Rattus norvegicus: one gene and its partners. The protein of the gene in region 1 purifies or fractionates together with the protein of each later gene. This does not show direct contact. Links are inferred from orthologs where the notes say so. Each region holds a gene or a part of one and is shown in the gene's direction. Other genes may lie near its edges. The genes, in order: Dusp9, Mapk3 and Pgrmc1.

What was found.
Region 2: the proteins of Dusp9 (region 1) and Mapk3 purify together in Homo sapiens (affinity purification with mass spectrometry; 4 studies listed by BioGRID and IntAct, with this or other methods). This does not show direct contact. The link is inferred for Rattus norvegicus from reciprocal best matches to the Homo sapiens genes DUSP9 and MAPK3.
Region 3: the proteins of Dusp9 (region 1) and Pgrmc1 purify together in Homo sapiens (affinity purification with mass spectrometry; 3 studies listed by BioGRID). This does not show direct contact. The link is inferred for Rattus norvegicus from reciprocal best matches to the Homo sapiens genes DUSP9 and PGRMC1.

The regions. Positions count from the first base shown.
Region 1 is NC_086039.1:156,501,958-156,505,707, forward strand, and holds the start of Dusp9 (dual specificity protein phosphatase 9), read left to right. Parts: upstream 1-1,279; 5' UTR 1,280-1,462; intron 1,463-2,037; 5' UTR 2,038-2,072; coding exon 2,073-2,535; intron 2,536-3,029; coding exon 3,030-3,485; intron 3,486-3,750. UniProt on the Homo sapiens protein: Inactivates MAP kinases. Has a specificity for the ERK family.
Region 2 is NC_086019.1:190,795,598-190,799,347, forward strand, and holds the start of Mapk3 (mitogen-activated protein kinase 3), read left to right. Parts: upstream 1-1,596; 5' UTR 1,597-1,630; coding exon 1,631-1,803; intron 1,804-2,720; coding exon 2,721-2,903; intron 2,904-3,750.
Region 3 is NC_086039.1:120,704,426-120,707,423, forward strand, and holds the end of Pgrmc1 (membrane-associated progesterone receptor component 1), read left to right. Parts: intron 1-1,101; coding exon 1,102-1,205; 3' UTR 1,206-2,380; downstream 2,381-2,998. UniProt on the Homo sapiens protein: Component of a progesterone-binding protein complex. Binds progesterone. Has many reported cellular functions (heme homeostasis, interaction with CYPs). Required for the maintenance of uterine histoarchitecture and normal female reproductive lifespan.

The DNA.
Region 1 (3,750 bases):
CAACCTTGCCAACTCTTGGCGGTCTCATTTTGAGAACATTCTACTAATGTCGTGACTGGGAAGTATTTCCTTATTTTTTTTTTTTTGAATTGGCTTTCCTTCCCTGCCTGAGCTTCAACCTTTCCCCAAATATTCTTACCCCATCACATTCCTTCCTTCGGGCAGAGTATGCAGTCCTTGAGTTCCTTACCCATTTATCTACGGGGTCTTAACCCTTTGATTATTTTGTGCGAGCTTTATCTTATCTGTTGTGTGTTTTCCTTTAACGCTGTTATTTGCTTTTCTTGGGCTTTTAGCAGAGAAAGGACACATGGCCAAATGGGGCTTTTTTAGAAGCCTCCCCTGCCTCTCCTTTCATTGTCAGCACTTATCACCCCGATATCTGGTCCAGTGCCTTTGCTTATTGTTGGTGTGTCCTGCTGGACTGGAAGACCCAGGCAAGGAGAGCCCTTGTGTGTCTTTCCTGTTCATTACCTGTCTGATGGGCTGGTTGGAGGCCACTAGCCTTTGTGGACTGAATAGTGCTCTGGAATGGGGCAGGGTGGAGACAAGCTGAAGTTTCAGAAACTGGGACACTGACATGTATAGTCATGACCACTGCAAAAGCCAGAAGGAGCATGGGGATAGGGACATATTGCAGTAAAACTACTTCCCTCCACGTGGATCCATCCAGGGGGTTATGGGAAAGATGTTATGGGGAGGCGCCCGCCTTCACCTGATAAGAGCACAGTGTCTCAGTTTAAAGTCGAGTGCTCAGAATTCCTGCGTACCTTTAGCTAGACCTGTACAAATGAAGCCCAGATGGAAATAGCGCACCCGGGAACTGCCTTGTCACTTCAGTTTTTTAGTGGCATCTCACAGTAGAACACTTTAGAAGGCTCCGATTAGCCCATTATACAGATGGGGGCCATCTAGTTCCAGATCAGGATTGTTGAGTTGTTCGAGACAGTTTCTGGTTCTGGGGCTCTGGGCTTTTGTCCCCACCCCTCTTCCTGCTTCCAGGGACCAGACTGGCGCCAAGCAGGGGCAACTGCAACATGTCCCCTGCTGGGCCCCCGACCTGCCCTTGGCCTCTGCCCCGACCCTGTCCCGCCTGGGTGGAAGCCCTAGCTCAGCTTGAGGTTTGCAACTCCCACCAGGCTATTCGTTAGCACTGGTTGGCTCGCCTGCCCCCTGAGACCGCCCCACCGCCCCGCCCCGTCCCGCCCCTTTGAGCTGCTACTTAGTCCGTCCGAAGGCAGAGCCTTCCAAGGTGGAATCTGGATCCGGCAGCCAGGAAGCGGCCAGCGCACGAGTGGCGCGAGGCTTGGCTTCCACGTGCGAGCCTGCTCCACCACCCCGCCCTCTCTGAGCGCCGGAGCCTGGGGACTCCGTCTCCATGAACGATACCTGCGCCCTGCCTTGGCACTAGCTGTGGTGAGGACGTCCGCGTTTGGCCGCCTGCCTCTGGATCTCGCTCCAGGTCTCTCCTTTTGTTCTCTCCTGGGGTGGGTAGGAGTGGGGCCGAGTCAGCTCTTACGGGACGGGACTCGCCGAGGCCCATCACCTCGGTGACCCTCTTGTTCTCTGGGTCTTCCCGGCTAGAGAGGAGAGCCGGGCCTTGAACCCAACTTCTCCACCCATCCAAAATCGAACTTGGGGAGTGATGGAGATCAGAGTAAATGAGAAAGTCAGAAAAGGGGTGTGGAGGGAACTGGTTTTAGTCCTCCTAGCACCTCAGAAAATGCCTTCATTCAAGAGGCCGCTAGACGCCTAGCTATCTTCTGGGGTATATCTCTTGAAACTCCATGTGTTAAGCGGGGCAGGGAACAGCGCCCAAGTGGCGGCAGCCTCGGGTCTTTTTCCCGGGGCGCCTTCCTTGGTGTTCTCACTGTGGGTGGAGCGCGAGGAGAGAAGCAGGCGGTAGAGGAATGTCCCTGCGGGGACACTGAGCGCCTTCCCTCAGGACAGGGGTTGACTTCCCGCCTCAGTAGCCTGGTCCACGCTGCGGGAGTAGAGAAAACTTGCCCTCACCCCGCGCCTTGACTCTCTCCACAGCGCCCGCTGCCCGACGTGCAGGACGCTGCGCGACCATGGAGAGTCTGAGTCGGTCATGCCTGTGGCTGCGTCAGGAGCTGTCGTCCCCGCGCCCACAGCTTCTGATACTGGACTGCCGCAGCCGGGAGCTGTATGAGTCGGCGCGCATCTGCGGGGCGCTGAGCGTGGCCCTGCCCTCGCTGATGCTGCGCCGCCTGCGGAGAGGGAGCATGTTGGTGCGGTCGCTCTTGCCTGGGCCACCGGTGCAGCCTCCGCCACCGGCCCCTGTGATCCTCTATGACCAGGGTAGTGGCCAGTGTCAGCCCGAAGCAACGGAGGCTGAAGCTAAGGCCGAAGCGGAGGCCAAAGCCGAGGCCGAAGCGGAGGCCAAAGCCGAGGCCGAAGCGGAGGCCAAAGCCGAGGCTAAAGAGGAAGCTGAAGAGTGGGATGCTGACTCGGTGCTGGGCATCCTGCTCCAGAAGCTGCGGGAAGAAGGCTACCCAGCATACTACCTACAGGGTAAGTGAGGGTCAGTGGTCTGAGAGAGAGCGCTCTGGAGAGGCCTCAGGTCGGGAGAAAAGGTCCTTCTTTCCAAGGGGAGTTCATAATTAATTTAACCTTCGGCAAACTCAGTCTTATTTTGTCTAAAATATAGGGTAAGGGCCTCCCTCCAATAAGCTGCTGGAGAGCTTTTGGAGGTGGGGAGATGAGCATGACCTTGGGCAAGTCCTTCATCCCTCCAAGCCCATTTATAAATCTGGAAAATGGGGAGAATTGATCTGAAACAACCTGGGTCACAGGCTATTGCCCCGGGACTAAGGGCTGCATTGGGCACTTGCCATGCTGAGCGAGGGTGGATGGGTGTCCATAGCATAGCACGTGTAAGGAATCTGCTGGCTTATGTGTTCCCCTTAGCAATATCTGCAACCCCCAATCCGGGGAGCTGTATAGGCCAGGGATACCTGGCTGCCAGGAAGGCATGTTAGTAAGACCTCACCCTTTTTTCCTGACAGGCGGCTTCAGCAAATTCCAGGCCGAGTGTCCTCACCTGTGTGAAACCAGCTTCAGTGGTCGCGCTGGCTCAGGCCTGGGCTCAATGTCTAGCCCAGTGCCTGTGGTAGGGCTTGGTGGCCTGTGCTTGAGCACTGATTTCTCTGATGCAGAGTCCGAGGCTGACCGAGACACCTTGAGCTGTGGCCTAGATTCTGAGAGCACCACATCCCCTCCAGCTGGGCTGCTACCACCCTTCCCAGCCCAGATCCTGCCCAATCTCTACCTAGGCAGTGCTCGCGATTCAGCCAATTTGGAAAGCCTTGCCAAGCTTGGCATCCGCTATATCCTCAATGTCACCCCTAACCTTCCTAACCTCTTTGAGAAGAATGGTGACTTCCACTACAAGCAGATCCCCATCTCTGATCATTGGAGCCAGAATCTGTCTCAGTTCTTTCCGGAGGCCATTGCATTCATAGGTGAGTCCTCCCTACCCCTCCCCCAGCCCACTCTATCCACCCACCAGACTGATTCCTGGCCACCTCCTCCTTACTCTCTGCATTCCCAGAGCACATGTGACACTTGGGGAGGTGGGGGTAGAGCTCAGGTTAGCTACCAGTGAGACCTCCCAGATATGCTCTAAGCAGGGTGGGGAGACAACGATGATGACCCCAGAAATTCACTTAGCTTTGGCCTCACTCATGGTGACCCTTAGGGGGTGTTTCTGTTCTTTCCTGTTCTACC
Region 2 (3,750 bases), on another chromosome or scaffold:
GCTCAGTGGTAGAGTGCTTGCCTAGCAAGCACAAGGCCCTGGGTTCGGTCCCCAGCTCCGAAAAAAAGAAAAAGGAAAAAAAAAAAAAAAGAAAAAAAAATGGTTTGGGGCTGGAGAGATGGTTCAGCGGTTAAGAGCACTGACTGCTCTTCCAGAGGTCCTGAGTTCAATTCCCAGCAACCACATGGTGGCTCACAACCAACTGTAATGGGATCTGATGCCCTCTTCTGGTGTGTCTGAAGACAGCTACAGTGTACTCACATACATGAAATAAATAAATCTTTAAAAAAAATTTTTAGCATTCTTATGGTAACATCTTTGCTTACCTAACCATCTTACTAGCCTCGATCCAGGGTCTTGATTTTGCTGTTTGGCACGCGCACGTGTGTGTGTGTGTGTGTGTGTGTGTGTGTGTGTGTATCTGTGTCTGTGTGTGTCTGTGTGTGTGTCTGTGTGTGTGTAAGAGAGAGAGAGAGAGAGAGAGAGAAACAGATTGTACATTTTAATTGATTTAGTTATCTTTGTTCACAGTTATCACCCTTTCCCTCCTTCTCATATGAAGTGGGCTGGGTTGCATGTCCTCCAGGCAATAACACTGGGTCTCAGAACACACCTGAGCCCACTGCAGGCCTGCCTCTTCACAGGAGCATACCTGACTTCACAGCTTTCTAGTGCTGCCTGCCATCCACCACCCTTCAGACTGCTTCCTCACTATAACACTTAGGATAAGCCCACCACCACCACAGGGGGGCCCAGCAAACGTGGGTACTTCCTACCAAGTCTGACAGCCCAAGTCGGATACCTAGGACCTGCACAGCAGAAGGAATCTGATATCCTCTGATCTCCACACAGGCTCTGTGACATACTCATGCCCCAACACACAAAATTAATAAATGTGGCAAATAAACGAATAAGAAATTATGGAATCTGGGCATTGTGATACAGTCTTTAATCCCAGCACAGGGGAGTTAGTATGCTGAGGCCAGCCTGGTCTACATAGTGGGTTCCAGGACAGCCAGTTCCATGTCAAGAGACCCTCTTAGAAAAAGGAAGAAAGAAAGAAAGGAAGGAAGGAAGGAAGGAAGGAAGGAAGGAAGGAAGGAAGAAACGAAGGAAGGAAGAGAAAAAAAGAAAAAAAAAGAGAGAGAGAAGATGGAAATGTGGCTCAGTGATAGGATTCTTGCCTAACATCCAGAATCTGCATGATGGCTCAGGCCTAAAGGTAGGAGGATGTGGCCAACCTCCACCACATAGAACCTTTGGGGCTGGCCTGGATTAATACTGTCTGCGTAAATGAAACAAAAAGTGAGAGGCAGGTCTCCAAAGTTTAGGGGTGGGTTCCCTCAGCATCACTCAGGGCCACTGGCCCCTGGGGCTGCAGTACTCTCTAGGCAGACTAAAGTACCCTAGTGGCCAAGGCAAGGAAGGAACAGCGTAACTAGGCGGGAAAGCCGGGCGCGCTCTCAGTAGACCACGTGACATCGCGGGCCCGCGCAGGCTCGCCGGGCAGGCGCGGGGGCGGGGCGCGCGGGGGCGGGGGCGGAGCCTGGCGCGCGGCCCCGCGGTGACAGGGCGGCAGGGAGGGGCGGGGCCGCGGGCGGGGCAGCGGGGGGAGGCGGGAGGAGTGGAGATGGCGGCGGCGGCGGCGGCTCCGGGGGGCGGGGGCGGGGAGCCCAGGGGAACTGCTGGGGTCGTCCCGGTGGTCCCCGGGGAGGTGGAGGTGGTGAAGGGGCAGCCATTCGACGTGGGCCCACGCTACACGCAGCTGCAGTACATCGGCGAGGGCGCGTACGGCATGGTCAGGTGAGGGGGTGTCCCAGGAGGGGGCTTCAGAGCGGGGACAGCAGGTGCGTGCCCGGGACATGGGGTCCGGGGAGTGTCGCAGGGGAGGGATCGTGCAGTGACTTCTGGGGGACCAGGAGCTACTTTCTCCGGGAAGGGGGGTTGGAGGCTTGGAAGCCACCTTGTATTGTTAAGGGAGGGGCACCTGGGGGACCCTAGAGATACAGGTGGAGCTAAGAGGATGACTATTCTTGGTGAAGGGGGAGTGAGAGACCCATAAGCAGGTAGTGGGAGCCTTGGTTCCCCCCTGATGAGGTTGTGACAGAGTTTGAGAGAGCAGAGCAAAGCTCAGGGTGGGGCAAACCTTTGCACCCCTGCCCCTGGCCTTGCCAGAGGCCCAAAGTAGGGAGGGGTCTCTAGAATGTGCCTTATTTTGTGGGATACAGGTTTGTGAGTTCTCGCTGCCCCACTCTGTGCTCTGGGCCTTTGTTCCTATGGGAACAGCTCTGACCCAGGAACCTCACCGGGAGACAGACCTACCCCTTCTTATCTCTTCCCCTGTCCCATTACTGAATCCTCTGGGTTTCATCCACTCTCTCCATTTAACTCCCATCCCCTGGACCTGTCTTGGATTGAGAGAGTCCAGCTCAGGAAAGGGGAGGAGGGTGAGGGCAACTACAATGTAAGAGGGTCCAGGAGAAAGGAAGTCAGTGAGTGGCCACTCTCTTCCTCTGTTTGTGAAGTCACTGAAAGGCTGCCTGGCTGGTCCCCAGCTTTCCCCCTGGAGATTCCAGGCCTTCACAGCAGGAAGGAGCCAGCATTGTTTACACTTGGCCAGAACCCTCTCCTGCTCTCTCCGGTCCCTGCCAAGGCCTGGGTGGGGCCACCAGGCCTGGATTCCCCCTTTGTAAGGCCACACATCTCTCTGGCTCTCTCAGCTCAGCATATGACCACGTGCGCAAGACCAGAGTGGCTATCAAGAAGATCAGCCCCTTCGAGCATCAAACCTACTGTCAGCGCACGCTGAGAGAAATCCAGATCTTGCTGCGATTCCGCCATGAGAATGTCATAGGCATCCGAGACATCCTCAGAGCACCCACCCTGGAAGCCATGAGAGATGTGTATCCTTTAGCCACAGCTCCAGAGCGAGGCTAAGGAGCTTGGCTTTGCTTTCTGTTGTCGTCTGTTGTGCCACCCTCAAAAAAAAAAAAAAAAAAAAAAACCAAAAAAAACCAAAAAACTTAAAAACCCAGCAAAGTAACTTTTTAGCTGAGAGTCTACGGAGCAGAAGAGCACCCTGGCAGGCCTTGGATCCTGGTCTGTTGCAGCCAAGTGGAGTGGCCTTGAACACATCCTTTTCTGCTCTGTGCCCCAGTATGGTGTGTGGGGAGGGGAGAATGCTGGGCAAACCATCTCTATGGGAGCTTTGTCTTCTGACATCTGCAGTTCTGTGACATGACCCAGTCTCTGCCCACAGCCCTTTCTTGCTCAACAGACTCACGATTCTTTAGAGACCTCACACTGGATTGAAAGCGAGGAAGAAAACCAGCATTGGGCATGCCTAGCGCTTTGGTTCTAATTCAACCTTTTAGCTTCCCTGTGTGATGAGCTTTACCGCGTCCATTTCTAAGATGAGGAAACTGAGGCTCTGTGTTTTGCTGGGCCTTCTGTGGGGGAGGGGCGATACTTTCTCCAACGTGGAGAGGGTGGAGGCTTTCACACCACCTTGCATTGTTAAGAGGAGGAACCTGAAGACCCTAGACTCACAGGGCGGAGCCACGCCTTTGCACTCCTGGTCTAGCCAGGGGCTCAAGGAAGGACGAGGGGCCCTGAGAGTCTGCCTATAGAAGAAAGCCTAAATTCAGCTGTTCCTGTTTGTTGCTTCCTCTTCTTCCCCAGTTGGCTTTCTTGGAGCCTTCCCACTCTTCTGAGAGCCCCACCCTGATTACCTGCGGCCTTGTACCTTGA
Region 3 (2,998 bases), about 36 Mb from region 1:
GCTTGCTAATCCTGACTTCACACCTCTTGGCTACATCTTCAGTCCCTTCCTAGTCCCTTGCCATTCCTTTAATTACTCATAGCTTTTTCCCACACTGGGGAACATGTCTGTCTCCTGCTGTCCTGCCTATGTACTTAACAGACCCCGACCCCTGTCATGGACTAACAGATACTCCAAGTTGCCCCTAAGCACTGCTTCAGCTTTCTATCCCTCCCGGATCCTTGTCTGGTACTAATTTCTCAATTCTGTCTCCTGCTCTGGCTCTCCTTTCATGTGGCCTTCTAGGGTGGCTCCTTTTTTGCAGTCCTCATTTTGGTTCGCACGCTGTCCAGATGCTGCTTCATTAATGGATCTTTCCAGGTTTCTTTGAAGCTGTCCCATATCCTTTTACTTTAATTCTAATGGTCTTACCCAACTCCTCTCTGTGGTTCCTTCATATCTGACTCTGCATACCAGGCCTCCTGGTCACCCTGCTCAACTGCTCTTACTGAATTCTGCCCTACATAGCTGGGTGATAACATTGCTGGAGTGCTATTTTGCTGTGTCATTCTTTCTCTTACAAACTTTCAGTACCTTTGCCACCTATAGGTGAAGTTCAGATTTCTCAGGATGGCTTTTCAGGTCTTTCCTAATATTCCCACACACTGATTAGCCAGACTTACCTCCTACTATTTCCAAATGCCAGTTCTGCTCCTGACAACATGTTCTCACTGTTTCCCAGATATGCCCTGTCTTGTCTGTGTGCCTTTGAATGTGTTCTCATTTTTCTGGAAATACCTTTCACCCAAATTCTGTCCATACATTTCCCAAAGCATATCTTTATTCCATGTATCCCCCCACCCCCAATTCATAGCAAGATCTTACTATAAATACTTCCTACATGGTTACTACTTTGTATTTTTGTCTTTTGAACAAAATTCTTAATTCCATTTTTGGCAAAGAGTATGATATAATAATCCCTTTATATCTATCCAGAAGCCTAAGACATTGCTGAGTATAATGTGTGGACCTCTCATAAATGCTTTAAAATGAAATGTTGTGATTTTTTTTTTGTAAGTCATGAGAATGACCGATTGTCTTTTCCTTTTCCTTTACCTCCAGTCAAGTACCATCACGTGGGAAAACTGCTGAAGGAAGGGGAGGAGCCGACTGTGTACTCGGATGATGAAGAACCAAAAGATGAGGCTGCTCGGAAGAGTGACTGAAGCAGTCAGTGGAGCATATCTATTTTTGTATTTTGCAAAATCATTTGTAACATTCCAGTCTGTCTTTACAACATGGTGATTTCAATATTTAGAGAAGTTTTGAACTTGTAAGTTTTTTAAGTAACATCACTAGTGACACCGATAAAATCAACTCGTCTTAGAATGCATGATGTGTTTGTACGTCACAAATCCAGAAAGTGAACTTCAGTGCTCTAATGCAAATGGTAAAGCTGTTTCTCTTCTATCTGTAGTTAAAACTGAATTACAATTTTATTTTCCTGAGAGGGAAAACTTGGGTTATCCACAAACTGGCCAAAATGGCAAGTGCACACACACACAGTGGCCAAAATGGTCAATGTACTAAGAATGAAGAGAGAAGGTCTTAGCCATGCTATAGTCTGAAAACAAGCCCATTTTACCCAACAGACTTAACTGCATGATTTTTGTTTTATCTACCTCTAAAGCAAAACTGCAGTGTTCCAAAGTCTGTGGTATTGATTCAAAACAGAAGTCCAGTAACAAAATGAAAACTCAATAATGGGTTTAGTTGGGGCAAACACATTGCCTGTGTTCATGGACTGATTTATCATCCCTGTCCCCACGTGGACACTCCCACACACAGTAACTCTCACACACCTGGTAATTGGCAGTTGGAACTACAACAGAATCTGAAAATTCAAGGTAGAACTTTGCAAAAGAAAAATCTGTTGCTTGTAGCAGGGCAATGGTTATGTGGTTATTGGCCAAATGTAAAATTTGAGAGCAATATACAGGACAGGAACAGGTGTGCGCTTTTCAAAAGCTTCCACTGACATCTCTGAAGAATGAGAAAACACTACATGGCACTAGCTGGGTGATTTTGAAAGGAAAATACATTCCTAAGGTAACAGTTAAATCCTTCTGTTGTTACAAAACTCGTAGTCGCTTCAAAAATAGTAGTCAGGTGTCTAGGTCTTGGATAATACTCTTGGTTAATACTAAACCTAGCTTAAGTAGACTCTGCAGTTGTATACATTTGTAAAAGTATTATCTGAACAACTAGTGAGGTTTCAGACTCTTGTAATTGTAGTTAAATAGTCATTGTATTTTCTTGTGAGCTGTGTTTAATGGTTTTACCTCAAATCAGAAAAAAAATGAAGTGCTTGGGTCAGTTAATAAAACGGTTTTGCCCAATATAGAGGCTAACTTGCTTTAATTTTTTTTAAACCTAAGAACTGGGGATGGGAGTAGTGCGGTACCATGGCTGATTCCAGTCATGACATGGCTGGTGCACTCAGGAACACACAGCAAGATGAAGCCAGCCAAACTCCAAGCCCCAACTGAAGAGCAGTTTATAATCCCAACTTGCTGAGGAGCTTTTGGTAGTGGATGGCAGCTACAGTGGGGCTCGTCAGTTTTCTTTGAACGTGGCTGCTAGTATGTTCCTCATGCTCCAGTACCTTGTACCTGTGTGCACATACAGGTAGCAATAATTACATGTAGTGGGGTAGCTTTTTAAAGACTACTGGGGACATGCTGGGAGGGTTCAGGAGAGCCAAAGTTTAGATATGATCATGACACATGGTATATATGTGTAAAATTCGCAGAAGAATAAGTTTAATATTCTTAATCAGATTTTGTCATTTGACTGTAGCTTAAAATGGAGTTTAACTTTTGGGTGTTCGATTACGTTAAAGGCCTGCCTGGGCTATGTAGTGAGAAGGGGAAAGGGAAGGAAATGGGAAGAAAAGAGGCAACAAGTTGAGAAAGAGAATGCAGAACTACTCTATTGTGAATTGTCAAATTCTGCCTCT